Linked DNA regions of Tamandua tetradactyla. The protein of the gene in region 2 interacts with the protein of the main gene of each other region in a pairwise test. Links are inferred from orthologs where the notes say so. Each region holds a gene or a part of one and is shown on either strand. Other genes may lie near its edges. The genes, in order: CHD2, TRIM41, TOP3B and GPATCH2L.

Evidence for each region.
Region 1: the proteins of TRIM41 (region 2) and CHD2 interact in binary tests that used the Homo sapiens proteins (3 or more experiments, as listed by UniProt). The two-hybrid records come from large-scale screens. The link is inferred for Tamandua tetradactyla from reciprocal best matches to the Homo sapiens genes TRIM41 and CHD2.
Region 3: the proteins of TRIM41 (region 2) and TOP3B interact in binary tests that used the Homo sapiens proteins (3 or more experiments, as listed by UniProt). The two-hybrid records come from large-scale screens. The link is inferred for Tamandua tetradactyla from reciprocal best matches to the Homo sapiens genes TRIM41 and TOP3B.
Region 4: the proteins of TRIM41 (region 2) and GPATCH2L interact in binary tests that used the Homo sapiens proteins (3 or more experiments, as listed by UniProt). The two-hybrid records come from large-scale screens. The link is inferred for Tamandua tetradactyla from reciprocal best matches to the Homo sapiens genes TRIM41 and GPATCH2L.

Annotation. Positions count from the first base shown.
Region 1 is NC_135338.1:91,296,522-91,304,378, reverse strand, and holds the start of CHD2 (chromodomain-helicase-DNA-binding protein 2), read left to right. Parts: upstream 1-4,855; 5' UTR 4,856-6,334; coding exon 6,335-6,435; intron 6,436-7,857. UniProt on the Homo sapiens protein: ATP-dependent chromatin-remodeling factor that specifically binds to the promoter of target genes, leading to chromatin remodeling, possibly by promoting deposition of histone H3.3.
Region 2 is NC_135346.1:3,322,702-3,330,131, reverse strand, and holds the start of TRIM41 (E3 ubiquitin-protein ligase TRIM41), read right to left. Parts: upstream 3,003-7,430; 5' UTR 2,247-3,002; coding exon 1,425-2,246; intron 1-1,424.
Region 3 is NC_135331.1:25,990,339-25,997,988, reverse strand, and holds the start of TOP3B (DNA topoisomerase 3-beta-1), read right to left. Parts: upstream 3,013-7,650; 5' UTR 2,911-3,012; intron 1-2,910. UniProt on the Homo sapiens protein: Releases the supercoiling and torsional tension of DNA introduced during the DNA replication and transcription by transiently cleaving and rejoining one strand of the DNA duplex.
Region 4 is NC_135338.1:35,427,925-35,434,886, reverse strand, and holds the start of GPATCH2L (G patch domain-containing protein 2-like), read right to left. Parts: upstream 3,021-6,962; 5' UTR 2,893-3,020; intron 2,884-2,892; exon of another isoform or gene 1,112-2,883; intron 696-1,111; 5' UTR 686-695; coding exon 24-685; intron 1-23.

The DNA.
Region 1 (7,857 bases), on a different chromosome or scaffold from region 2:
TGAATTTATAGGAAAGAGTCCTTATAATATTTATAAAAGAACTTAAAATTTTGTGGTATAGTAATGCTTATAATAAATTTTATGTAAATTTGCCATTGGATTATTGGTTTGTGGTTTTCTTCGGTACAGTTGGGAATTTAGATTAAATGACTCAAATCGTGCCATAGATTATGCTTACATTTCAAATTCTAGGTGAATATCATTTTCATTGATTGTAATAATCTAATTCCAGTTTCAGTAATTACTACAAAGTTGTGGTGGTCTTTAATTTGATAGGCCAAATGGATAATTGATTATATTTTCCCATTATACAGAAACAAGGTATAGTTCAAGTCAAAATTCTTTTGGATAAAAATTAGTCATACTGTCTTTATGATTACTGTCAAATACCATAGTGTGCATATCTGTGATCAATACATTGCAATATTTGTTCTCATTGGTGGAGTGAAGTGCTTGTCTTTGTTTAAATTAAACAGTGGAATTTTGGATTTGATTTTGTTACAAAAGCTAACCTTTTTATAGAGTGTACAGAGTTGAGATTGTGCTTTGATAATGGATTTTATATTTACCTAGATTTAACATTGTTTTTTAGTATGACTAAAAAAGAATGGATTCAGTGAGGGAAGGAGATGATTCTTGCAAGTTATATTGTGATAAGGAAGATAGATTGGATTTTGGGGGCATGTGACTGTACTTATACTTAATTTTACTTGTTTGATTGAGGAGTTTTGTGAAAGGGTGTTGAATAATTGCTTTCTTTTGGCACAATAACGATTTATTTCCATAAATCTCATGTTTTTAATATTAAGGAGAATTTGCCCTGGATCATTATTTTGGTAACTTGCCATCAGATATGACCTATTTTTATTTACTTGGAGTTGTTGAAATGGGTGTGTAGATAAAATTGGATTCGAAATTCGAGAGAAGAGTTGGGATATGTGTGTTCTGTTGATTTTTGGGGTGGAGTTTCTTGGGTTTGTGATGGTAGGTCCATACTCTTGAATTTGAAGAGTTTTGTTTTGCTTGAATCAGTAGGGAAGTAAATATATTGTGGTTATGGGAATTTTTTGTGGGTAATGTTTCCAAGGTTATATAACGGGTTAAGGAATTTTGTGAAGAAAAATTGAAATTCTTGAATTAAAAGCTGGTTGCATTAGCTTTTGCTCTAATGCAATTGAACACTAGGGAGGCGCTCTTGAGTTGTAAAAGTTACCCCTTTCTTCCATTTGGGATGGAAATTTCCCTTTAAACTTTGTCTTTAGATGATTTTTAGGCATTATAAAGAAGTGAAGACTTGAATTTTAAGAAATTGAGGTTTGCTTTTTGTTTTTTTTTAGGGGGGAGTCATTTTACCCATGGAGGGGGTAATATTTAAAAAGATTAGTATTAAGGCTTAGCTGTAGATTCTGTAGGAATTATCCCTCTTTCAAAATGGCTTGACAAAAACACTACTTCCTGTCCAGAGAGGAAGTTATTTTAGCTCAAGGACTGAAATATTTAGCAGATCTTTAAACAAAAGGAACAAATTACATTTCTCTCTGGCTTAAAAAGGGTGCCTGAGCAAGAGGGGGTTAAGAAGCCCTTCCCCCTTCCCTTGTTGGGGTAGTCTGGAGGGGCAGAGAGGAGTGGGGGTGGGGGTCCTCTGGCTCCCTGGGATGGAGGATCTTTTTTCTTTTTTTTTTGGTAGAGATGAAGGGGTGGGTCTATGGTACATCACCTGAGTTGTGGGGTAAATGTAGAGAGTGTCAATCAAAGGCAGAGCTCTCAGAGCTGGGAAGGAGGCTCTAGATGGCGGCTGTGCCTTAGAGAGAGCGCGCTCTGCTCCCTGTCTTCGCCTCACTTTACGCAACTTTCTCTAACTTTCGGGCAACCTCAGGGGGCCCCCGCAGCCCCCTGCCTCTCCTAGGGACTTGCTAGGGTCGATTTGGACCTTTTTTAGGGAGAAAAGCAGCTTTTAGAAGCTTTCTTTTCGTGCCTTGTTGGAAAGAAGCAGCCGTACTGAGAGCCCAGGTCGTTGTTTTTTCCAGCTTAGAAGCCATGGCGCACCTCCATTTTTGTGCGCTCTCCTAATGGAGGTTTTTTTTCCTTCCGGACCTGTTTTAGTATTAATTATTGCCTTTTTTTTTCGGTCAGTTAACATTTTGAGGATTATTTAATTTATTTTTCGGTTTTAAACGGAGGATTTTGCTTTTAATTTTAATTTCTTGGGATCTGCTATTTTTCTACTACTAGATAGGACTCTCGCTTTGGACCTATTACATGGATCAGGTAAGTTCTCGATCATTAGTGATAATTTTAAAGACATATGTTTTAAGTTTGCTTTATTTTCTGTAAATATGAGAAATTCCTGGATGACGCAATAAGATACAGAGATTGTTATTTGTATCCAGTGTGTTACTTTGGAGAAACTTTCCTTATTGATAGTGATGCTTCCCCTATACAGTTTATCCTGCCTTTTTTTTTAAAGGAAAAAATAGAAATATGTATATGTATTGGTGTTTACCGTTGTTGTATTACAGCAGTATCGTTATATCGTCAGGACTTTGCTCCTGATGATTAAAAAAACGATAGAAGCCGGGACCTTACCTTTCTTTCAACTTTTGACAGTAAATACCTGGGCACAGGACTTCAAAGCAATCACAGATTTCCCCTCCCCCTTAATATTTAAGAATTAAAAGATGATGAGAAATAAAGACAAAAGCCAAGAGGAGGACAGTTCGCTACACAGCAATGCATCGAGGTATGAGCTATCAACTTTATTCCTTTTTTCTTTTTTTTTTGGTGGGGGGGGAACCGCAGCTTACATTGTTTACTTTGACAGACATGGATTACTGTCTGTTTTATTTTAAGTATTTTACTAATTTGGATTCATTTTTTAAAGCATGACCTTGAGATTGCTAATATGCCACACCCTAATTTTTTGGTAGCAATTTATGAAAGTTGAGTTGTGACTTAAGGCCTCTTACAGCAGTCAAAAGGTAGGGTACCTTTATTCAAGGGGGCCTGTCCTTTAAATGATGCTTTTTCTGACAATAAATTTCAGTTTTTAGGTTTTTTTGTGCTGCAGAAAAATGACCTTGTCGGTTTAGCCATTGCTGCATTGCACCATTTTACATACAAGGCAAATTTTTTCTTTGAAGAATCTAGGATATCCAAACTTGTAACTGAGGGCCATAGAGGAGCCTTGTAGTAGTAAATTATAGTAAATAGACATTTGAGGAAGTTACATGAATGAAAAAATGTACATGTTAAAAAGAAATTGCCAAAAGTATCCTTTGACTGATGTTACTCAGTTCATATTTTTATTTGACTCTGTATTTCTTTTGATACAGTTGACATTTTAGGAAATTTTGATATGATTTCTCAAAACCTTTACTTTGATGACTACAGTTTCTGTATTTATGAAATCAACTCTGTAATCACAAATCCTGGAATTCTGTTGGTATTCTTCTGTTTCTTCTGTTACTGTGATTATATCAATAACTGTATATTTTTACGTTTGAAATATTTTAAGATTTGCGTTTGTATGGTTTATATGCAGACAGTGCTTTCTGGTTGGTAGATGTAGTATTTTATCCTCACATTTTAGTTGTAGATGCTTTAAAATTTTATTGATTTATTTCGACAGAGTCATCTGGAATGGTTTATCTTCTGAAGCTTTTTAATGTACCATTTGTTCAAATAATATGTTGCAAAATCTGCTGGAGTACCTTGTTAGTGACCAAGTAATAAAACCTTTAAGATGATTTTGTTGTATGATCTCTGTATATTAATTTTTAGGATAAGGCATTTCTTGATTTATGTTCTTAACAATTATTAGAACTATAAATTATAAATCATACAATTAACAAGGATGTGATTAGTTATGTGATTTTTCCTCCCCATTTTGCTTTTAGTTTTATAATTTTATTATACATTAACTTATTAAGCTAGTGAATTTGAAAGTTTTGAACTTGGTTTGCTTATTGCAAATGCTGAATTTTATGTTTTATTACACTTCATAATATTTTGACCCTTCTTTTGAAAATGTTTCCAAATTCTTTTGCAAATTGGGTTGCACACAGTTTGGAATGACTCTTTTGACTGAATTGCCCATATATTTACCTAGGTTATATTTAGGACAGAAAACATCCCGGTTAATCCTGAACTGATTTCTCTAGAAAGTAAGGGCCATTTGAAGAAACAGGAATCACCCTCCCCCACCCCCAGGTGTAAAATTATTAAAGAATACGATACCTAAAATTATAATACCCTTGCGTGCATGATTTGCATAGTCTTACATGGGTTTTTGCTTTCTTATACAAGGTTTGTGGTTAACGTTGATCAGGTTATGCTTTCTAATTAAAAAATCAAGCAGTTTTCCTTTTTTTGTTTTTGTTTTTTTCTTTTAATATTTTTACCTCACCTGAAAAATGTTTGCAAGTTGTCATTCATTTACCTACTAGCAGTGAGGTAACAGCTGAACAAGAAGAATGTGCAATATTTTTTAATGAGTTTGTCAACTATACTTTGAATCTTATACCCCTAATGAATGTTCAAAAACATGAGACTCCATGAAGAGAAGATGGAGTTACTTTTAAGTTCCTGTTATCAAAAATTGGGTACCTTAATACATGTACATAATTATGACATCACTTCCTTTAAAAAATGTAAACCTGGAGGATGTTAGTGGTGTTTTACTGTAGTAGATTAATGCTATTTCTAGTGAGCTGTACTTGGTTTCTTACTCCATCAGTGTCTCCCAGTTAAAGTAGTTTCTATGGCCCAAAAGAAAGTGATTAGGAAATACTACAAAAATTATGTTTGCAGTCTGAGCTACAGGATAGTAAAGGAGTTGGCAGGTCAAATAAACTTTGATTTGAGATTCCTTTAGAATCTGAAAGGATTTTAGTGTAAATTTTGATGTTTTTTTCCTGATTTTGGAAATAGTGCATTTTTTTTTTAGGTAGTAAGTGGTTATATGTTTGTATTCCTTTGCTTTTTTGTACGCCTAATATGGTATACTTTGTATATGATTTCAGAAGAGTGAAAAGTTCACTTTCAAAAAACGTGATTTTTAAAATTTGGTGTCTGAATTTTCTAAATGTTTTCAACAAAAGATTCGCTATGTACAAGTAAATGTCGAATACCACACGAAACGGATTGAAGTTTGGGGGATAACTTCAGTAATATCAAAGGATGGAAACGGGGAAGAGGAATTTGAATTTGGAAAGGTGCTTGTGTGCACACACAGACTTCCGTGTGTTCTAGGACCCTACACTTGAAATTTGTCCTAAGAAGTGAAACCGTTTATGAAATTTATCTCGAAATTGTCTGCTTTTGAGCTAGATTTATTTTGATAACCTGAGGGGCGGGTGAAATCGTCTGCTTGTCACCGGTCATTTAGCAGTTATTCTAAAAAGCTGGGGATGATTAGCAGTGGCATAATGCAGTTGCTTGTGGGCTGTTAAAGCAGAGGGGCAGCCATTTTATGACACTGTTAATTCTTAAAACGGAACTTCGGAGAAGAAAAATAAAACGAAGTCTGAGAAACAGAAATACCTTTTTATTTGCCTCCACCTCTCCCCCTTTTTGGTGCTCTGGTGCTGAAATAAAGGGAAGGTCTGTAGTTAGAATAGGCAGCAGAGCAACTCCGTGAGCACTGGCATCTTGGTGCAGGTCCAGCTCAGTCACAAAATGGCTGTTCCTTTGTGCCGCAGCGCTGACAGACATACTGCATTGCACTGTGTACTCGGCAAACAGCAGGAAGTTGCCGTGTGGAGTTCAAAGGCCGTTCGGCGCCGGTGCTGGCCTCTGATTGGCTGTGCGCGGGCCTGGTAACAGCTGGGTCAGTGGTGCCGCTCTCGGGCAGGCCCCGCCCTGTGATGTCAGGTTCCTCGCCGCCGGGAGGAGCGAGCGCGTTGACGTCGCGTCCCGGCTACTTCCTCTCCCTGCGCAGCGAATCGGCCGTGTGGGGGGAGGGGAAAGGAAGAGAATCTGCTTGGGACTTTCCGGTGGGCGGCTGTCGCGCTGACCGCTTTTGCCCTCGGCAGTTCTCCGCCCTTCCCCGCGCTGTAAACGCCCCACCGCGATTGTTTGCCCTTCTCTGAGACTGGTTTTTCGCTATTTGAAGGGCCATGTGTTTTCCGAGAAAAAGTAAAACGCACTAATCGGAAGCTTTCGATAGGAGACTTACTAGTTTTTACGATTTTCGTTTTTCTTTTACATTTTACCGTTTTTTTCCTTCGGTGCGAAGGGATTAGTGAATTTAGTTGATTTTGTTCCTACTGAAAAATCGTTTAATTGACAGGGAATTTTTTCTTATTGAGACATCTTAACGGGTATTTCTTAATACATGGCTCATAAACAAAGGAAAGATTATTTGAACTTGCCCCCGTGTATTTTTAATTGGTTCCATACATTTTCTCATTTGACATTTGATGGAGAAAATCTCAGGTCAGTATGTGTTAAGTGATTTATTTCAAAGATTCACGATGAGCTGGTCAAAACAGTTTTCTATAAAGTAAGGTTAATTGTAAAGTGACAGCATTAGGCATTCTTTACTGTGCGAATAGGCGTCAGAAGACAACTCAAGCTTTAATGCCCCTTGCTAAAGAAGAGCGTCTTCCAAAATTTGGCTGTTAGGGCAATTATTTGTCAAAAATCTTGAGAAACATCTTTTCAGAGTCCCCATACAGGAGATTTTAATTCAGTAGTCCTGGTGGTAAACTGTTGTTTGTACCTTTGTGGTTATGCTCAGTCTGAAACCCCCTGCAAGGATTTCTGGTCAAAAAATGTTTACCAACGACTAGCTAACGACTCTGTCACAAGTAATGAATTTAAACATAAAACTGCGTTTAAAACATGAGGAAAAAACGATTAGTGAATTTCTTTTTTGTATGCTGAAAAGTTTTTTCGATGTCATCAAAGTGTTTTTAGTGGAAACATGAATAAATGTCATGTAGTATGCCATGGTTCAGACTTCTTAATTTTGAGTAATAGATATTATGAAAAGTGTGGACCTCTTAAGTGTTAGTAGAGGTGTTTACCGGACAAAGGTGGGAAGATAAAAATTCATTGCAGTAGTTTATGTTTTAGGTTCTCATTGTCTATTATTTTTTTGGGAAAAATTCTTTGTATGGTTTGTGGAAGCTAGGTAAAGTATTGTGGGGTTTTCTTTTTATAGAAGTGTTTGTGAAAGATTCCCTAAGTGTTGGCATTTCCTCAAGTGTGGTTATTTATAAAATTTCTTCCATTGTTTTAAAATAACAAACTTCCATGGGGACAAGTGGTTTTTGAACTTGAGCTTTGATCATTGTTTGTAGTTCTTGAAGTTCACCTACTGCAGCATGAGCGAAGGTAGTAATCTCTTCCCTTTTTTGTGTATTAGGAGAGACTAAATTTTGGTCGGTTGTATTAACATTTTAGTAATTGCTGAATACTCTATACTTAAAGTGGGGTAGGAGTTAAGCATTGCAGTCTCGTTCAAGAGAAGGATATAAATTATTGTCTATGAAAGACGTTTTAGTTCAAAGTAAATATCTTTACTACGTAATTAAAATGCATACCATGATAGAGCAGTTTATCTAGGAATTGCTTGCAGTCCACTTAGAACCAATTAGCTTTTTATAAGAACGAGTGTTTATTAGGTTTGTTTTGAGCCTTCTGCTTATTTTTCAGAGAACAGCAGAAAGTGGCAAGAAAAGAGCATTTGATTGATATCTATTTTGTTTTGGGTTCTTGCTGTTTTAAGCTCTAAAACCTGTAGTTTCCAAATGGTACTTGGCTCTTGGGAGATTATTAGCACCTTTTGTAAAAATTAAACTGAAGGAGGTTGGGCAGGCATTATTTGATAAAGAGTTTCAGTTGTAAAGCGTA
Region 2 (7,430 bases):
CTTCCCAAGGATGCATGGCCCAAAAGGCAGGCAATGCTAACAACACAATGATTCTCAAACTATGGGAAGCTTTCCAAAGACCTCCCTACCATCGATTCAGAATCCCTGGTGGAAGGGCCCCTTGTACCACTGAAAAGCTCCTCTAGGAATTCTCATGACCAGCCAGTTTATCAATCACCATGTGCACGGAATGAGGGGATGTGTGTTTGTCTTAGCTGTACCTCTCACAGCTGAGAAGCTCTAGATGCTTTCCTGTAAAATTGGGATAATGCTAACAACAAAAAAAAAGCACTGTGCGGATGACACAGAAGACGCCATCCTCTCCTCCAAGTTGTCCTACCCATCCCCTGCTACGTAATGTTCTCGCTGCCAGGTAGACACATCTCCTTTACCTATGTCCAGAAGGAGTCAGGGTCAGAAGCAGGGGGCAAGACATTCAGACTCCAAGGAGACGGATCACATGTGAGAAAAAAATCATACTAACCACCACCATGGTGGCAGGTGCTATCAACAGAGGCTGGGGGTGGGGAGTGGGTGGCCCTGTGCATGTTACTTGAACTTCTCTGGCTGTTTCCCGATCTGTCAAATGGGAATGGAAGCAGTAACCAAACCCACAGAGCTGTTCTGAGTTTTAAATGAGACAGTCCATGAAAAATGTTTAGGATGGTGACTGATATACATAGCAAGCATTCACTAAATATTAACTATTCATCCTGGAGAAATGAAAGGTTTAATGAGATTCAGAGACTTATCAGAGATTTGAAGATGAGTTAACTGGCAGAGCCAGGTCTAACTTAAAAGCCTCTTTCACTTGCTCTCTCTTTTTTCAAACTTCATTACCAGCGAAGGGAAGCTGTTCTGGTCAGTACGTAAAAATTATACAGAACCAACAAGGGTCCTCAGGGGGAGAACCAAGCCCTATCACGGGATGGGGAGTCCTACTCAGGAAGTAAATGCGGGGCATTTAGGTCTGGCACTAGCAGACACTTCTCTTTTCCTGCTTCGAACCATTCCTTGTTTTTTGGCTGCCCAAGTTCTTCCCGTCTCCGGGAATCTTAGTCAAGGACAGACTTCAGATTTACCCCAAGGAAAATGGGTCTGGTGGTAAAGCAGTAGGGACCTGTCACCTGCGATCCTATATTTAGGGACAGTGAAAGGGCGAAACCGCAGTGGCCTGCTCCCCAGCCGATTCAGTCCAGTGATGGAGCATCACCAGCTTTGCCCCACTTTCTTTGAGGGAGACGGTCTTTCCTGGTAGCCTTCACTGCACCTCTCCTTTGTCTGTGTAGAGTCCTTGCCCTCCTACCCCAGGAGAATCAGCTCACCAGCACGAGGTCGTCAGGGGGACGCGCTGTTTCCTTTCCAAGCTCCCTCACTTCCTCCTCTCCACCCGCTCAGCCCCGCGCCCTCCCGGTTCCGCTCACCTTGTACTCCTGCACCACCTCCTCCAGCGGCACCACGCTGTGCTGCTTGTGGCTCCTGGACTCTCGGCACACCACACAGATGGCCTCTTCGTCCACCTCGCAGAAGAGTTTCAGGGCTTCCTGGTGTTTGGGGCAGACGCCCTGCTCGTTCCCACGACTCACTCGGCCAGGGGTTGGGTGCATCTGCCGAATCACCTGGACCATGTTGGCCAGCTGCAGGTTGGGGCGGAAGCTACGCCGGGGAAAGCTCTTGCGGCACTGGGGGCAGGTGAAGCACCTCCGAGGGGTCGGAGGCGGAGGCAGTGGGGTGACCGGGTCTAGCTCCTCTTCCTCGTCCTCCTCCAGCACCTCCTCCTCGTCCTCCTCCCTCAGGTCCTCCTCCATGTCCCCCAAGTAGTAGTCCAGATCTTCCTCCTCGTCCTCCTCCTCCCACACGTAGTCCATAGTGTCCCAGCTGGACCCGCCCATGCCGCTGGTCCAGAACACACCCTCTTCTTCCTCCTCGACCTCCTCCTCCATGTCGCCCTCGTAGTCTTCGTCCTGCATGGGGGTGTCCCAACCCCCGCCGGCCCCCACGGCCTCCACTTCCTCCTCCTCGCCGTCCTCCTCCTCCTCCTCCTCCTCCTCTTCTTCCTCCTCCCGGTCTAACTCGTCCCTGTCCTCCTCATCCTCCCCGCCCCACAGCTGGGTCACACACACTCGGCAGAAGTTGTGCCCGCAGCCGATGGACACGGGGTCCGTGAAGTAATCCAGGCAGATGGCGCACACCGCCTCCTCCTGAAGGGTCTGCACGGGGTTGGGTGTCATGGCAACGGCAGCCATCTTAGTGTCCCGTCAGCGAGTGTAGATGTGGGGTGGGGGGCTGAGGAGTCGGGGGGGTCTTCCCTCGCGGGCGCCCGGCGACCCGGCCCCACCCCCAGCCCTGCCTCTCAACAGTTGGCCCCGACCGCAGCGAGAGAAATGTTCCCCCGAAAGCCCACCCCTCCACGCAAGAGTTCCCTACTCCCAGACGACGCCGTGTCCCCTGCAAGCGCAGGGGACAGAGCGGAGCGCCACAGCTAAAGGCCCCCGAAGGCCCTGAGTGCAAATCTGCCCCAACGCTCCCTTGGCCGCCTAAGAAATCCCCGCCCCCTCCTCTCTTCCGGGTCCCGCCCCCTCGCTTCCGGCCCTCTTCCCAACACTTCCGGCGTTTTCTCGCCACTCAGGCTCCCGAGTTCTCTGCACCGCTCCCACTACACCCCTTTCTTCCTCTCCGGGCCCCCGAACGACAGGAAGCGGCGAGGAGGCGCTCTAGCAGGCATTCGGGAATAGGGCAGGAGGCCTGGGAGGGGAAAGGTCCCCGTCTCTGTGTTGCGGGAGAGCCGGGAACGCAGAGGGAACTGAAGGATCGCCCTTCCCGGGTCTCCACAACTGGACAAAAATTTCGGGAGGCGATGAGAACGCTTGGCGGCCGACGTTCTGCGGGTGTTACGCCCGCATCGGCCGAGCGAGACCCTACAGGCCGGACATGGGTGACCGCTGAGGGGGCAACCCACGACCGTTGCCGGAAGCGGGGGGCGGCGGAGCCCGGGCGAGAACCCGGCTGCGTTTCCGGCCGCTCTAGGCTGAGGACTTTGTTGTTGGAGGACTCGGAGGTTCTCTAGGTGACGGCTCAGGGGGCGGGGCCTGGGGAAGTGCGTGAGGTGCGGCCGTTCCGCCCCCGCGTGGGAGACGTCCGCTCGTGTTTTAGAAACCTCCCATCCAGTCGCTGCAGCAGCGTTTGCTTGAGCTAAATGCCCATCAGTAAAGGAAGGGAGACAAAGCCCTACGTGCCCATCTACACAAGGGAACACTATTTAGCTATAGAAAGGAAATTTATCTGCAACATGTATTCCTTTTTTTTTAAAAAAAAGTTATTTATTGTGAAATACATATAGAAAATTTAAAAAGCAAAAATTTTCAAAGTATATGTTAACAAGTAGTTACACAACAGATTTCAGAGTTTGGTGTGGGTTACAGTTCCAGGATCTTTCATTTTTCCTTCTAGCTGCTCCAAGAAACTAGAGACCAAAAGAAATATCAATATAGTGATTCAGTAGTCATGCTCATTTTTAAAATCCTACCTTCTCTGTTATGCTCCTCCCTCTCCTTTGATCCTTCTCCCACTCTTTAGGGTATTTAGGCTCTGCCCATTCTAACTTTTCATGTTGAAAGGGGCTGTCGATAATATGTGTAGGGAGACGTGACTAGTTGATGTCTGGAGAGGCTGGGCACTCGGTTCAGGACTTACCTAAACTGGGACCGATCTGGAGACTGTAGGTTTCAGGAAAGTAGGCTTAGTGCATGGAACCTTTGGAGAGTCCCAGATAGAGCCCTGGGTGTCCTTTAGGGTGATCTGGAGACTGTAGGTTTCAGGAAAGTAGGCTTAGTGCATGGAACCTTTGGAGAGTCCCAGATAGAGCCCTGGGTGTCCTTTAGGGTTAACAGGCTGCAAGATGTATTAAGTAAAAAAAGCAAAACGCGGAACAGTGTGTAGGGTATGCAGCCATCTGTTAAAAAAAAAAAAAGTGGAGGACAAATGTTAAATGCAGTCGGCATATTTATATTCCTGTACGTGGGTTCACGCATGTAAAGCGAGGGTAAGCGCTCGTTCCTCGGAGTTTGTGAGGATTAAGGTCACGTGAAGCGGTTACAATGCTGCCCACCTCTCAGTAAGCGCGCCGTGTCGGCGCGGGCTAGTCTCGCCTGCGTCCTTTCTGCACAGACCGTCCGGGAAAGCAGCGGCGGGCCGAAGGCCAGGGCTAGGAAGGACAACCCTCCGTGTGCTTTTGAGTTCCGAAGCCAGCGAAGGTGTCACCTAAAAACAAAGCAAACGCTCAATCTTCTGAGTGCCGGCCGTGCCCTCGCCGCTCGGCGCCTCCGGCATGCGCAGGGCCTGGGGGTCCGCGCAGGTGCACGCAGGACCGCGCGATTGGCTCTGCTGGAGACGGTTCTGCGGGCCCCTGCGCGTCCCTGCCGCGTGGACCCCTGGTGCGGCAGAGGTAGCGCTTGACGTGACCTGTGTGATTAGAAAAGACCACCTTCGGGAGAAGTTCGAGGGCGGCAAGCTAGGTGCTCGGCCTGAGCTCCGGCTGCGCGCGCCCGGAGGTGCCACGGGGCTCCTGTGCGCCAGCTGCCCCCACGTCGGGCGGAGGCTCGTCCACACCAGCCGGAGGCGCGCATCCGCTCGCGTGGGTGCTGGCCACGTGCGCTTCCGCGCCGGGAGGAACCGAGCTAGAGGACTAGACGCAAGGCGGCCCCACAGGCCGGGTGTTCTCAGAGCGCCGCTGTGCCGCTTTCGCCCGCTGAGGTTTCCGTAGTGTAGTGGTTATCACGTTCGCCTCACACGCGAAAGGTCCCCGGTTCGAAACCGGGCGGAAACAAGGTTTTGCTCCAGTCTTCACTTCCACCGGCCACAGCCTCATTTCATCTCCCGGGCGCCCTGGGAAAGAAAGGGGAGACCACCCACGGAGAACGGCAGGTTCTGCAGGTGTGTGTCAGTGTCTCTAGGGGAGACGGCGTGCGAAGCAGGCTCGCAGCGGAGGTGGCTCACAGTAGGCGCTGCATAAATGCACGCGATGCGGACTCAGGCCTCGCTCCTCAGCTAGTCTGCTCTTTCCTCTGGATCGCCTAAGACAGAGCCGGGCGCTCAGTAGGCGCTCCATAAATACACACATATTTAATCCTGCAAAATTTGGGGGTGGAGGGGGGCGGTGTTTTTGCAGTCTCGCGTGTCGAACTCGGTCTCTAGGGAGGGAACAATCAAAACACCACGACCGCCCGGCTAGCTCAGTCGGTAGAGCATGAGACTCTTAATCTCAGGGTCGTGGGTTCGAGCCCCACGTTGGGCGAGTTAAGTTTTTGGAAACAGAATAAAGCGAGTCAGTGAAGAGTGAGGATACCTGTGGACGCATTCCTGCCTGCCTGTTCCCCCACGACTGTCCTGCCTGCTGCTATTCGTCCACCCGTTCACCCACATCCGACGCCTATTGGGTGCCTTCTGTTTACCGGCTACTCGTGTTATCGTGGACTGGTGCATGATCCGTCACCGACGCCTTGGGTGGCAGGCGGCATCCCCAGCACTGCATTCATGGGTGTCAGGTCCATACCAACGGATCTGAATCCAAACTCGGATACTCAAGGGTCTTCCTAAGTGGTTTGGTGGCTGGGATTCGGCGCCCGGTGTCCGGTTTCCAAGTCCTGGGCAGGAACAGGTGCTCTGTTTCGCACGAGACCCTCATCTTCAATTCTCTTTAAGTGCTTGATTCTAAGAGCCAACCTTTTATGGAACCACAGCACATACCAAACTCTGAAATCTGTCTTACAGGTAAGGATTGCGGTGTGCTTTGAAATGTATTGGGGTTTTTTTGTATATAGGTTTTTTTTTAACAATGAAAAAAAAAAAGCTAACCTTTTAAGAAACGTCGCCCCACATGTTCCGGTCCCCACTGCCCCCCACCCCCACCCCCACCCAGGGCTGAATTTGCCTTTTTTTCGAAACCCGGTAACACGAACATCCTCGGTTTGCCGGCCTTGTCCCGAAACTCTGCCTTCGCTTCAGGTAGGCTCCCTCCATACGTGAGCGCTGGGCCCTGGTCCTGCATGTCCAGCTTTCCGTCTTCCGACCGCCGACGTCTCCCCACGGACACGCCAGACCGCGGGAGAAAACTGCGGATCCGGTAAAGCTGGTTTGTCAAACTGGCCGAGCGCAGACGCGCAGCCCCGACGCGGGATTAGAGGTCTGCCCGGAGCGGTTCCGCGTTAGGGGGCGTGGGGGCGGCGCACTCCGCGGTGGCTTGGGCAGGGTGCGCCCTCTCCCGGGCTGCCGGCTCGGGGTCCCAGGGGAGTCACTGTGCTTGGGGTGCGGGGCTGCGCGAGCCGCTGTTCGGGCTGTCCGGACTTTGGCGTTTCTCTTGCCAACGGGTTTACCTGCAAAGTGTGGTTTCAGGGCCGTTTCTCACACCTTTACTGGGAGTGGGGGGGAAAGTCAGTACAGATCCTGGCTTGAGAAGCCGGAGTGGGCAGACCTCTTTCCTGTTTCCCAACACCGACAGCTCGCCGGTCCGAGTTCGGCTGCGATCTCTGCCGGTCCTGGTTTCTTTCTCGTCCAGGCCTCCCGCCGCCGCCCTCTGGCCCGGCCGGGTGGGGGTAAGTGCCCACCAGGAGTCGGCGAGCGCCGGTTCCGACGCCCCACGAGCCCGTGCTGGACCCTCCTGGGATGTTCGGTCTTTTCTTCGGTGGGGAGGGGGCCACCGAGGCCGGGGGTCTCGCTCCGACTTACACTTTAGAGGGACTCCTCCAGGAGCGACCAAGCAAAGGGTGTGAGGGGACTGCGTCCGGGCCGGGACGACGCGGGAACGGCCGGGGCGGAAGCCGGGGCGCCCGGACCGGGCAGTAGCCCCGGGACGCGCCGCTTCGGACCGCTGAACTGGGACAGGAGGGGTCTCCGCCGCGCGGGGGGTAGAGGGGCTCCCGGGTCGCCCACAGCCGGGGTCCCAGTCCCGGAGAGTTCAACCCCTCTTCCGATCTCTGGCTCCCCCTGGGCTCGGAAATCAGCGTGAAAGAAGAGAAAATTCTGCAGTTTTGAACAATTGCTGTTACGCTCAATTTCGCACGTATGTAGATCTAGGTACAAACTGAGTTCAGCTTCATCCCAGCTCTTTCTACTGGCCGTGGAACGCTAGGATTGATGTTTTATTTTCATAAAAACAACTTCCTGAGATGTTCAATGTAATAGCATTTTCAGTTTCGCTTAGATGACTGACAAAATTTTATATTCATTCAATTTTCCCCTCTCTCAACAGATAATGTTGCATAATTTAGAGCAAATATATAACTCTCGAAAACATATATAATATTATTCAATTTTTGATTATTTACATTTACTTTACATTTTGGTAACAATACAGTCTAAGCTCATATACTTTGAATGCATTTTATTTCTTTAATCATTTAGATTGCTGCCGTCAAGAGATTACAACTTATGTG
Region 3 (7,650 bases), on a different chromosome or scaffold from region 2:
AGGGCCCAGCTCATGCATTAATTCTTTTTTAACAATTCCCCATACCCAGTGGCAGGGTAAACCATTGTGTCCCATGCCCCATGATTCTCAGGATGGACTATCAAAACCTGCTGCACATTACGCCACAGTTAGTTACCGCTTTGTCTCCTGAGAGGCTGTGTCTGAAGTACTGTTGGCAATTGCTCCAGCCAACTCTATGCCTAATATATAACATTTAATACCTGCTGGCTGAGTAAAGCAAATCTAAGAACCTTCCTGTCTTTTGGGTCATTATAAATATAGGAGCATATGAAAAAGATGGGTATCGGGAGAACTGGGAAACTGACTGGAAAATAAAATTAAGTTAGACTTCTATTTCACACCCTTCCATCAGATCAGATTCCACACCTAGCAAAGACTGAAGTGGAAAACAAAACAAAACAAAACAGGAAGAAAACACGAACTGTCAAATTAATCGCAATATGGAATAAAAAATTTTAAAAGAACCAAAAAATTAAGTACTTCAAAACTCAGAACCATCTCTTCATGTTTAAAAGCATTTGGTTTCCTGTTTTCTCAACAGTCTTTCCAAAATTTACCCACTGTTTTCAGAACAATTGTTGTCTTACTGGTTTCTAGGCACCTCTATATAAAGAGGAAATTAGTCCGTTTGTGATATGACGTCCAACAACACATAAAAGGAAAGCAAACTAGAGCCAAGATAAGACTGTACTCATCTCACAAGCAAAGATCCAAAGTCTCAGCCCACATTGTATACGAGGGTGTGGGAAAACAGGCAAACTGAAACCTATTTGGTAGCACTTAAATTGGGGCAACGTGTATGTGGAACAACTTGGCACTATCTCCCAAAAGCACTGCTTTAGTTTCCTGGCTGCTACAATGAACACCACGCAATGGGTTGGCTTAAATAACAGGAATTTATTGGCTCACAGTGTTGAGTCTAGGGGAAGTCTAAAATCATGGCATCAGCAAGGCTCTGCTTTCTCTCCTACAGCTGAGGTGTCCTGGAGCTGGCTGGGTGTCGAGAGGTTATCCTGGAGGTTATTCTTATGCATTCTACAGATAGTTCTTTTTAGTTTATGGTGTATTGGAGTGGCTGGAGGGAAGTACCTGAAACTGTTGAACTGCGTTCCAATAGCCTTGACTCTTGAAGATGACTGTGTAACTATATAGCTTTTATAATGAATAAAAAATATGGATAAAATATAAACAAATAGGGGCATCAAAGGTTAAAATAAATTCGGTAGATGGAAATACTATTATTGGTCAAGGAGAGGGAGGGGTAAGGGGTATGGTACAGCGGGATAGGGGGGCTGGCAAAAAGACATGCATTTGCTCTGCGAATGCTAAAGGGGGTCGTATCAGCCAGGTAAATCCCAAATGTGGGCATACACACACTCACACGTGCTTGTTTACAAAAAGCAGAGCATCTGAGTACTGCTCAAAAGAAACAGTTTGAAATCTGAGGGACCAGGATCTGGAGGTCAGGCTGTGAGAGCTTCCTGCTGACCATTTACATTTCAGGGCAGTGTATATAGATATGGGACTGATGAGAAAGAACAAAGACAAACACATTTAAAAATAAAGACAAAATAAAGTGAAACCAGAAGAACAAAGGAGGGCTGGGAACGAGGCCCTTCAGGAAAGAAGCCCAATCAGACACCTTTCCTTGGGGGGCTTCACTAGTCCTCATGATTTCTCCTGGTGACTTGCTTTGGGCCTGTCAACCTGCTCCTTGCTGTCCCAGACTGTATGACCACAATGAAATCTGTTTACTTTGAATGAGAAAGTCACCTTGAATAAAACAGTAAATTGCTTTTTTTCCCCCTAAAGCAAATACTTTAGGGATATCCCCACAAAATACACAGTCACCCCGAAGTATAAAACTAAGATCAGGTGGCTGTGCTGACGCCTCTCCCAACCCGGATAGACACTGCAACCTTGCTCCCACCGCCATGCCGTGTGCACCCCATGCCTGGGACCTCCTCACGCCTGTGAGCAAAACACTCCTGGGTGTGTGCCTCCAGACATCTGCCTAGGATGCTGAGCTCAACTGTCACTTCTTCCCAGATGTCTTTTGCTCTGACGCCTCCCAAAATTTGGGAGCCCAGGAGTGAGGCTGTAAAAGACTCCCCTTCTCTCACCCAGAGAAGCCAGAAGCCAGAGAGGAAATGTGGCAACAAATGGGAAAGATTGTTCTGGGAGGGCTTCTGAGGTTCCCATCCCCCTTAAAAGTTGGAAAAAAGTTTCATCCTAAAACGCTTCCTTGGAGTCTCTCATTCCTGTATCACACCAGTAGCCAGCCCAGGTGAGCATCCAGTATGTTCTTTGGGAGACCCTATCTCTAGACACAGAACAAGCTTCTCCTCTGTACTAGGCATGCTGTAATGTAATCTTGCCAACAACCCTGGAAGGTAAGTGCCCTAACTTTTTTGGCTCAGAACAATTCAAACTACTGCCAGGTGAAGTTCTTGTCCCAAGGCCTCTCTAAAGGTCTTGGAACCCCAGGGCAGACTCGCAGGATCCGCCTCTCACATTCGATTTCCAAAGGTGGAAGCAACAGAGGCAAGAGGCCACCCCCATTCTTTTCGCCCTGGGGTCCCCTACGGCCCTCCCGGCCTCTACTACGGACTGCAGGTCAGAGCAGTGCCTGAGCGCCTTCGAGTCCCACTCCCGGCCCAGGAGGCGGCGAGTGGACGTGGGGCAGTCCCGACCTGGGCCTGATCTTTGTCACGCCTGCCTGAGCCTCAGTTTCCCTCAGACCCCACCCCAAAGAGCGCAGGACCGGGATCACCCAAAGCAAGAGGCGGCGAGAAGGCAAAGACCCCACCCGGGGGACTCAGGCCTCGGGCCAAGCGCCCCAAGGAGGCCCGCGCTTCCCGCGGCCCGGGCCGGGCGCCCGCCGCTCACCCACAGCGCCACCGCGGCTCTACCACGGACTCGGGCTCCCACGCCGGCAACGGGGACCGCCATCGACTCCCCCACTTCCGGTTCCGGCCCCCTCCGGCGTCCTCGCATCTGCCTTCCGGTGCCCGCACGTGCGGGACCGCACAGGTTCCGCAGCGAGTGCGTTCCGGGAGCCTGGGCGGATTGGGGTCTTCCAGGCTGTGGTTGCAAGATGTCCTCAAACCCACCTCCCATTTTCCCCCAACCCTCTACTCACGTTCCTCCCCGCCGCGATCCGCAAGGGAGTCCCTAAATCCGCCACCCTGACCCCTCTGCTGAAATCTGTGGGGGGCGGGGGGAGGGTCCCCAGACCCTTCCCTGCACCTATCAACCTGTTTAATGGCAGTAATCACAATCAGCATTACAGTGGGTGTGGAATAACCAGGAGAAGCGCATACTGTTAAGGATTGAAACAATTTGAAACTATAGGCGCCTTAACCAGGACCATTCCAGCCAATCCTAAAGAATGCCTAGGGCAATATATAAGATTCCACAAGGGTTCCATGCACTAGGGTAACTTTCCAGAAACCTACAACCTCCAGATGGGTCCCTGGACCAGATAAGTCCTGAAATGCAGAGGGCCCAGCCTCTCCAGAACATCAGCTAGTTCCATCCCCCTACCCCCATATTACTGACAGCCCCTTTCAACAAGAAAAAGATAGAATGGCCATAGCCCAAATACCCCTAAAGAGTGAGAGAAAGATCAAAGGTGATGGTGGAGTTATACAGAGAAGGTAGGGTTTAACAAATGAGTATGAATGCTGAATCATTATATTGATATTTCTTTTAGTCTCTAGTACCTTAGAGGAGCTAGAAGGAAAACCTAACGTTGTAAAATTGCAACCCATACCAAACTCTGAAATCTGTTCTATAATTAGTTGTGATGCTGTGCTTTGATGTTTATTGCCTTTTTTGTATATATGTTATTTTTCACAAAAAAAAGAAAAAAAATCGACTGTGATCATAAAAAAATACTTAGGCCTCCTCCCCTCCTATATTCTGGAGTAGCTAGAAGAAAAAAACTGAGATGATGGTATGGTAGCTCATGATAAACTCTGGGATCTGTCCTGAAACTATTTGTTGAAGAGTGCTTTGAAAACTATTGCTTTTGTCTTTCTTTGCTTTGTATATGTTATAGTATACAAAAAAAAAGTTAAAAAAAAAAAAACCACTACAAACTACAGTTGTGTGTACAGCAGGCTTCTTTCAATACTGCAAACATTTGGTGCACGAAAAGAATGAACTATGCAAAATGTATCCGGAAAAAGGATTGAAAAACTAAAGGAACTTTTATGTTTTTAGAGCATCAGAATTTTGGAAAGCTGAAAAGTCTTTTCATAATCTCGTTTTAATATCTTTTAAACAAGGACACACATTTTCTTTGCTTCCTGTAGACACGTCTCCCAACCTGCCATTACTGGAATGCCAACCATGAGAGGTACTCTAGAAAAAGAAAAGCTCTGGGGTCAAATTAAGATTGGGAAATGGCAGAAATTAAGAGTCTTAGGGAACTCAGGGAGTCTCAAAACAGAGCTCCTGACTTCTGTTTTCAAGTCTACTACTTCTTGGCAGGTTCCTTAACCCTGAGATGGCAACTCTATCCTGCTCAGGACTAATGACCTGGAGGCATCTGGACTCTTCTCTTTCTCTCCCACTCTTTATCCCAACGCAAATCCTGCCAGGACTGTCCTCAAAATATATTCAAGATCCAATTACTTCCGTCTGCCTGCCCCGCACCCCTCATCCAAACATCACTGTCTCACCCTGGTCACCTGGTCTCCACCTGCCTCCTCTACTCTGTTCTCTCAGGGGCTCCAGAAAATAGAGGAGCAGTCACCCGGCCAGGGCTAAGGTTCGATCTGGGGAGTGCAAACGAAGGACAGAGAGGTGGGGAGAACCAGAACTCCTCTGCTCATTGAACCGATCTCAGGCGCCCCTTCTGCTGAGCTGGAGTGAGGACCTGAGGCCTGGTCCCAGCAGGCAGAGCTGAGACATCAGCCTTGGAGGCCTGGAGGACTCGGGGCTGCTCTTGGTCACACTGGAGAAACTGCACAGCTGTCCTGTGCTCTCTGCCATCCCTATAGGCCTCCCAGGGGGCTGCCAGCCAGGCCACTCCCTTCCTGTGAGCTCTTAGGTTGACAAATCATCTAGACTTGGCTCCACTCTCTAGGGTTATGGGAAGTCCTTTCCAAAAGTGCATCCTCCAGTGATGGAGAGTAATGGCCTAGAGTCAACTCCGCTGAAAGGGCTTGTCCCTCTCCTCACACTAGGAAGAACTGGGCTCCCCCAAGGAGGAGGGGCAGATTCGTAGGGAGAGTCCCTTCCCCAAGGGGTGAGGAGAGTCCATAAGTAAAAACTGGAGCTTCAGGAGCAGAGCCGTGGAGTGTCTCCACCACAGCCTAGTCTCTTCACCTCTTCCTCACGTTCCTCACACGCTGCACGGGGGGCTGGTTAGGGCGAGTGGGGTCTCCTTCCTCTCTCTTCTCTCCAGCTGAGCACAGGTTGCCCATGATCTGGTAATCAATGCCCGTAACAGTTAGCAAACATCCACTGCTTACTTTCTTCTAGACTTGGCTATATTCACTCACCGAATTCTCATTACGACCCTGGGAATTAGATTTTATTATCTTTATTATCCTTCCATAATGTGCTACCCAAATATAAATTTTGCACCCAATAAGCATCTCTCCCTTTGGTCTCATACAGAAGTTGAAGTTTGAAAAATATGGGCCATATCATTCTTTAACCAGTATTCTGATTTACCTTAGTCTTGTCCAGATCAGCTTCATTCACACCTCTAGATGAAGTCTGATCACCTTTTCACCTTTTTTAACAGTTACTGAATATGGTGGCTGATGATTTTGAGCATCTTTTCATGTGCCTATTGGCCATTTCTATACCTTATAAGGAGAAATGTCCATTCGAGACCTTGGCTCATGTTTTTTATTTTGTTCCCCCTCTTATTTATTTTTATTCCATATGTTCTACTCATCTGTTGACAAGGTAGATAAAAGGAGCATGAGACACAAGGTTTTCACAATCACACAGTCGCACTGGGAAAGCTACACCATTATACAATCATCATCAAGAAACATGGCTACTGGAACACAGCTCTACATTTTCAGGCATTCCAGCCAGCCTCTCCATTTCCTCTTAGATAACAAGGTGATATCTATTTAATGCATAAGAATAACCTCCAGGATAACCTCTTGACTCTGGTTGGAATCTCTCAGCCATTGACACTTTGTCTCATTTCACTCTTCCCCCTTTTGGTGGAGAAGGTTTTCTCAATTCTTTGATGCTGAGTCTCAGCTCATTCTAGGATTTCTGTCCCACGTTGCCAGGAAGGTCCACACTCCTTGGAGTCATGTCCCACGTAGACAGGGGGAGGGTGGTGAGTTTGCTTGTTGTGTTGCCTTGGCTCATTTTTTAATTGTTTGTCTTTAGTGGTTGAATTATATTTCAACATATACTAGATATTAAGCCCTTTTCAGATATAAGGTTTCCAAATATTTCCTCCCATTCTGTAGGTTCTTTTCGCTTTTTCAGTAATGTCCCTTCCTGGAGGTTATTCTTACACATTATATAGACATCTCCTTTTTAGTTTATTTAGTTTAGTTTATGGTGTACTGGATTGGCTGGAGGGAAGTACCTGAACTGTTGAGCTGTGTTCCAATAGCCTTGTTTCTTGAAGATGATTATATAACGATATAACTTTTGCAATATGATTGTGTGATTGTGAAAACCTTGTGTCTGATGCCCCTTTTATCTACAATATGGACAGATGAGTAAAAAATATGGATTAAGAATAAACACATAATAGGGGGAACAAATGTTAAAATAAATTGAGTATGTTGAAATACTAGTGAACAATGAAAGGAAGTGGTAAGGGGTATAGAAAAAAAATAGAGGGAACAGAGGTTGAACTCTATTGAATAGATGGAAATACTAGTGGTCAATGAGAGGGAGGGGTAAAAGGTATGGTATGTGTGAGTTTCTTCTTCTTTTTATTTCTTTTTCTGGAATGATGTAAATGTTATAAAAAATGATCATGGTGATGAATATACAACTATGTGATAATATTGTGAGCCATTGACTGTGCACCATATACGGAATGTTTGTATGTTAAGAATGTTCATGTTTGTATGTTGTTTTGGTTTGATAATATAAAATAAATTAAATTTAAAAATATGAATAAAAATAAACAAATAATAGGGGGAACAAAGTTTAAAGTAAATTGAGTAGATTGAAATACTAGTAGTCAATGAAAGGGAGACGTAAGGGGTGTGGGATGTATGAGTTTGTTTTTTTTCTTTTTATTTCTTTCTCTGGAGTGATGCAAATATTCTAAAAATGATCATGGTGACACAACTATGTGATAATATAGTGACCCACTGATTGTAACCATGTCAAGAATGTTCGTATGTCAATAATGTTGGTATGTCGGTCCGTTGTGTATAATAAAAATATTTTAAAAATGTCCTTTCATAGGCAAAAGTTTTTAATTTTGATGAAGTCCCATTAATCTATTTTTTCTTTTGTTGCTTGTGCTCTTGGTGTAAAGTTGACGAATCCACTACCATGTCCAAGGCCATTGTAGCTTTTCTCCTGTCATCGTCTAGAAATGTTATGGGTTTAGCTACTATATTTACATCACTGATCCATTTTAAGATAATGTTTATGACCTGATGTATGAGAACAACT
Region 4 (6,962 bases), on a different chromosome or scaffold from region 2:
TGTCTCAGTAAGGGAGATCTCACCATTCTGACATGTTCTCATCAGAGCCCTGTTTTTGTTCATCTGCTTCACACTCCATTCTTTCTTTCCTTCCCGTTTTGTTTAGGAAAGTCCTATTTTCTGCTGATTCACACAACCCATGGCCCGATGAGTTCCAGGGAGTATTCTCTTTCCAGCGGGAGAGACGCTGCTTCTTAGCAGACTTGAACCTGCAGCCCCTCTCATAGCTCCAATCTGACACCTTGAGCTTCTGCTGAAGGCTAGCAGCCACCTCTGATGTCACTCGCTTCACCTTCCGCCGGCGCCTGAGTGGTCGACAAGGAGCATTTTCAGTAAAGGAGTCAGATTCATGCCAAGAATGCTGCTTATTCTTAACAACAGCACTGAGAGCTGGGTGCCCTTTGGCTACCATTGTGTCATCAGAGTCACTAAAATTAGTGACTGGGGCCACTTCTCGACAGTCCTTAATGGGTTCATCCAGACTTGACTCAGAGGCCTCACTGTAGCAGCAGGTATGCTCTCCCAGGTGAGTGAAGTCTGAACGACGTTTCCGGCCTCTTCTTTTTCGAAGCTGCCGCCTCTGCTGCCGAGGGCTCAAGGCCATCTCCTCCCACAGCTCACCAAGCTTACTCTGTTCAGATGTCTGTTCCAAGGCTGAGGCCAAGTCATGTACCAACTCATCCATGAGGCAACATCTGCCAAAAAGAAGTTCAAAAAAAAAAAAGAAAAAAGAAAGCCTGAATAGGATTTGATGGTTAAAAATAATTTTATAAAATAGATCATGTTACCAGAGTCTACTGTCTATAGAAAATAAAGCCATTTTAACATTTAGACCTTGTTCCTACTATCCATGCTCCTTTAAGCCACTAAAGATAGTGTTTGGCCCTTGTTAAATACCTAAAGTCAACACATTCTTAACCACAAAAACACAAATGCTCACCAGGAGACAACTGGAGTATTAAGAAAAACAAGCAAACCCAGAGCAATAGCTCTTTCTCTTTTCCTCCATTAAACTTATTGAATTACTTGATGATGATACACAAAAAGATTACAGAATGTCTTATCAGACAGGAGCAAAATTGGGGTAACATAGGATAGGACCCAGTCTCACCATGATATTGAACACGATGAACGATTTTTCTGTAGTCTTGGATTACTGGAGAGAATGCATGTGGCAGGGAACAGAAAGACAATTTAGCAAGACATTTTAAAGACTACAGTTTCAGTGGTTCAAAAACTTGTAATGAAACAGGTTTATATTCATAACCGAAGAAAAAAAAGGCTAAATTTCCACCTTTCTGGTTCCAACTACTACCTGAAAGCTACCAGGTATAGCACCTTAGAGTGGGTCATACATTTTTTGAATAATTAACAGATTTTATATTCTTCTCCCCATCCCTCAAAAAATAAATTAGTAATCATCCTAATCAACTGTTTTAGCACCACACAGTCATACAAAAACAAGATATAACTGAAATAAGATTATAGGAATGAAGTGGACTCTCTAAGACTTCTAAAATTTCCTATTTTTCTACTCATTTTCATCAAACCATCACACTTCAGAGATCACCAGGTACAAACCTTCAAGGGATGAGAGTAATGGGAGCAACTGTCAAAATTCCCTTTTAAGTGGAAATGTCTAGCATAATTTGTACAACGTTTAATTATAATACGAATTAAATGATCATTTTTCCCTAGCCCTTGTTAAGCCCAAAGTATTTCAGAACCATAATTAGAACTTAAATCCCTGGGTGGTGCCACACTCAGACTATATTTCTGTCCATGCAGTTTACACTTTGCAAAGGGCTTTCTAAAACCTGTTTTCACGCTGTGCCTATGCCAGAGAATTCAAACGCAAGAAAACAGTCTGCTGGCTTAATCGCCACATTTGTGGGAGCAATAAGGACATTGGTTCCAAAACTACCAACCAAACAAAACTCCAAGTGTTACAAGCCACACACATAAAAAGACCACATCCCTTTAAGTAATAAGAAGTGGATTAAAACGCCAAGATTTGTGTCTGGGAAGCAACTTTCCCTCAGACCAAAACAGATTAAAAAAAAAAAAAAAAGTAGGAGCAGCATGTCTAAGTCTACTTCCCTGATAAAGTACTCCTTTAAAAAGTCAGGCAGAACTATACCAACTTTAACATGGAGCGAATTCAATCAAACAACTTCTATTCGAACGTGTACAGAATTCTTTCCTGCCCCCACCACTGCAGTGCCTGCAGTGGGCGATAGAAAAACCCTGGGATTCCAACTCCTCCAGTCTCGGGTGCACACTACGAGCGGAGCCCCCAGGTCCAGAAAAGAACACAAGGTGAGGTGAGGCCGCCTGAGTCACGCTCAGGAAGGAAGAGGAAGCTTGTGGACAGGAGGTCAGAAGAGAGGAAGGCTGAGGTGAGGGAGGATGAAGACAGGAGGCAACTTCTCTGGGCTCAGCAGGGGTAGGGGATCTGCACTTCTAGGGCAGAAGCTGCCAAAAAAAAATTATAAGTCCTGGCGGCTGCGCTCTCCCTCTGTTGAGGATCGCAATATGGTCGCATACGTGACGAAAAGCGTGTCAAGGGGGGCTGTACCCTAGGCTCTAGCCAGTCCCCGAGAGCTAGAACGACCAAGGCTCGGGACACCAGCCTTCAGGCTATCGCCGGCCCAAAAGAGACAGAAAGGAGAAGGAAAAGGAGGGGACTATCGTCCCTGAGACGGCTCGACCCTTACACCCAGGAATGGGGACGATGGGCCCTGAAAAGCAAGGCCCCGCCACCACGGCCCCTCCCACCGGCGGCGGCGGCCCCACGGTGCCCCTAGCTGCTTAGCCAAAGCCCGAAGACCAGATCCCTGCTGGCACGGGCCCCCTAAACTCCAGCCCTCTCATCCCACTCCTTCCCCTCACCGGCTGCCACAGCCACCTCCGACGGCCACAGCTTTTTGGGCCGAGTCTCCCCGCCGGGGTTTCCCTCTCTGACCTCATTTCCGGTCTAGGCCGGAGGGGTGGAGCAGTGGCGGAGTGGGAGGGGCTGACCCTAACAGTTGGCCCGCCCACTACCCGGTGCTTCCGCCCTGCGACCGCGCCCATTTCCGCCCTGGAGAATTACCAGGGATCTGTCCTCGCCTTTGTTGGAGGCGTCAGTAAACCGGGTGCTGGGGAGAAGCGTTGGCGGCGCACTTACTTGCTGACCTACTTTTACAAAGAATGTGTAAAGTTGCAGGGGGAATGGATCCACATTCTTATCTATGAGAGATGGTTTAATCTTTGGCCCCAGTAGCTTTACAGTGAGTTACTCAGGGCATTACAAATGAACATGGCTTTAGCAACAAAATTAATAAAGTAGTAATAAAATATAAAAGAAATATTTATAAGTCCATGCTGATACAAATAAGTGATTGAATAAATAAATGGGAGAGCGCAAACAAGTCGTACAGGCAGAATTCCAAATAATTGATACAGCTTCTTCACCTTCAGAGAGGTGGTACCTGTACTCCTTCAGGGTGGGCTGTTCATGGTGACTTCCTTCTAAAGTGCACAGTATGAAAAGGGGCAGAAACAAATTGTTGCTTCGCAGTGGAGAAACTTGACAAACACTGCTCCAGCCAGGTGATGAAGGTTAACTAATTAGCAGTGACATCATGTTGCAAGTAAGTATTCTTGATAGGATGTGATAGGAATAGCGCTTTATCTCTGTAATACCTTCCTCCCCAAGGCCCATAACCCCAGTCTAATCATAAGAAAAAAAATCAGACAAATCCCAATGAATGGACAGTCTACAAAATACCTGACCAGTAGTCCTCAAATCTATCAGTCATTAAAAACGAGGGAAATCTGGGAAACTCACAGTCAAGAGGAACCTGAGAAGATATGACAACTAAATGTAATGCTGTTTAGATGGTATCCTAAAGTGTAGGATAGGTAAAAACTGAAGACAGCTGAATAAAGTATCGATTTTATTAATAATTATGAATCAGAATGGGTTCATTAACTGTGACAAATGTACCATACTAATATAAGATATTAATAATAGGGGAAATTGGACGTGGGCTATATATAACCTGCAGTATCTTTGCAGTTTTTCTGTAAATATAAACTATTTCAAAGTTAAAAATTTCCTTTTTAAAATGCTCGTACCTTTTGACTCCACAATTCTGCTTCTGTAGGAGTTTTATTCTAAGTAAAAATCAGCAATGGGGACAAAAGTGTTAAATATAAGTAGGCTTATCTCTGCAGCATAGAGAGGAATGAAAACACAGGAAAAAGTCAAATCCTGCTACAAGGGTTAATTAACAAAATTATGGTAACTTCCATCTATGGATCGAATATCTTGCAGCCTTTTAAAATTGAGATTGTGGAAAATTATTTAATGACATAGAAAGTCACTGATTTATGATTGTTTACATTCTGTATGGCTGTATGCTTTGATAAAAATGTATACTATGACACTTCATGTATAAAAGAAATTAAATCTAACTTGCTTAGGAATATGACCAAAATAATAAACTACACAGTGTCCAAATTACTCCCATTATAAATGGCTTTATCTCCTAACTGTTGTCTTTATGGATCGTCAGTAAATGAAATTCGTGTAGAGTTAAGGAAGGAGACAAAAATGACTGCAGTTCTGAGCCTGAATGACTAAGAGAATGGTTGGTACCATTCAACCAACTAGAGAAGTCAGGAAGAGAAACAGGTATGGTGGGAAAACGATTAATTCCATTTTGGACATGCTGAATTTATGACTCTCACACGACAGAGAGGTGGAAATGTTCAACAGGTCTTTGCAGCCTTCAGCCCTCTTTTCTGCTTGGATGATATTCTCTGGCAAATCACATTAGTTCCTATAGTGTCAAAACTGAGAGCTCCTAAATTTCTTGAAATTCAGCTATTATTTTCAGCTTTCTGCTAGATAGCTCCACCTGTTTACTCCACCAGTATCTCCAATTTAAGATATCAAAACAAAGCTCAGTTTCTTCACCAATCCCTACCAAATCTGCCCTTTCTGAAGTGTTCCCTTTAGGAAATCACCTAATGCAATTACATAGGTGAGAAGTTTCAAAGCCACATTTAGTTTCTGCTTCCTCCTTACACCCCTTCAACTAGTTAAATGTCAAACCTAGTGGATTCTACTTCTACAGGAATCTTGCCTCCATCTTCCCTCCTTTGCTTTTGCTCTGCCATTGACCTCCTCTGGATAGACAGCCTCTCTTCTTGATGATGTAGCAGCCCCCTTACTGTTCTTCCTGCTTCCAGTTTATTCCCAAACAAGCCATTCTCTACACTGGCACTCGACTGAGTTTCCTAAAATACAATTTGGATCATGTTACTTCATCCATCTGCCTCTACTTCTTGCCACATGGTTGAGCCACACCAGACCACTTGCCATTTCTTGAACACCCCTGGGATTTGGGATGACTTATAGGCTCAGTGCCAATGCCACCTCCAGGAAGCCTTCCTTGTTCTTTCCCATTCTCTGGCTCCTCCTTTGTGCTCTTCCAGCATGTGCCAGCACCTTTATTGCAGCATTTTCTTCATTCAACCTTGAACTAGAGTCAATTATGGGCAAGTTTACCTTCCCACCTAAATCACAAATATCTACTGAGCAGTGACAACATGCCTGGCCCAATGCTAAGCTCTGGAGATATACCTGTGTTAGCAAAAATGAAACCCATGGTTCCCTGTCTACTCATCATATTCACATCAGACCCTGGCATGGTGCTTTGCATGTGTAAGTGCTCAGTAACTACTGTCAATTAAAAAAACAACTGTTGGTTAATAAAGGCTGGAGCAGGGAGTTAGAAGTACTTCTTCCAATCTTAAGAGAAAATTTAAATTAAAAATCCACCTTTAGGTGGTTTGGAAGCCATAAGCAGGGCCACTGGAGGGAAGAAGGTAGCCAAAGAAGGAGACAAAAGGGATAGCTTCAAGGGGGCAGAGAGCATTTGAAGAAAATCATGTGTAGAAGCCAAAGAGCAGAGTTTTAAGAGGAAAAAAAGGAAAATTGGGAATGAGCAGTTCTAAGGAAAGGTCATCAAACATAATGATTAAGGAAATCACTAATGATAAAGAGTTCTGAACCGACCGCAAGGGGAAGTTGGGGGAGGTGGGTGGAAGAGGGTGGGTGACGCTCAAAGACTGACTAGCTGGGTGCAGTCCTCCAAAAAGATTAGTAGTTACTGAGAAGAGGAAAAGAGTTTAGTAAACAGAATTTTCCCTCAATTTGCCATTAGAATGAAGGTCTTAGTTGAATGAAGAAATCCCCACTGAAAAAGGATTTGCACATGGGGAAGAAATAAGAGGTTTCTCCTTTTAACTCCCCACGAAAACATTTTTTAAAGAAACAAAAAAGTTCTACTGTTGATTCACTGGATTCCCTGCATTTATAATAAAACTGAAGTCCTCACCATAGCCTGCACAACCAGATGCTATCTGGTCCCTACCTTCTTCTCAGCCTCATCTTGGCCCTGTTCCCTGTGCAGCAAGCCAAACTCTCTCTCCCTGCATCCCAGGGCCCTAGCATATGCTGTCATGCTCCTAAGACCTTTCTACAGAGTTTTGGAGGGTAGGGAGGCTGGTTCTCACGTTTGAGAACTTGGCTAAAATGTCTCCTTCATAGAGAGTCCCTTCCTAATATGATCTAAAGTACTTCCTATCTTACCACCTTGTTTTATTTCCTTTATGGCACTTACCATAAACCAACGTTACCTTGTTTATTCCTGTTCCATAAGAACAGGGGCATTGTCTGTCCTTTTGCCTTTGTACCCACCCCCACTCCCCGTCCCCCAGTACCTAAACGGTGCATGGCACATCACAGGGCGCTCAGTAAACATTTGATAAAGGAATGAATTCCTCATTCTCTCATCTCCACAGTTCTTTGCCATTTCTCTTTTTCCTGCCTTGACTCTTCTCTGAACTGATCCAAGACCTCCTGGCATCTTTCCAGAATTTTTTCCAGCAGCTGACACCTAACAAAT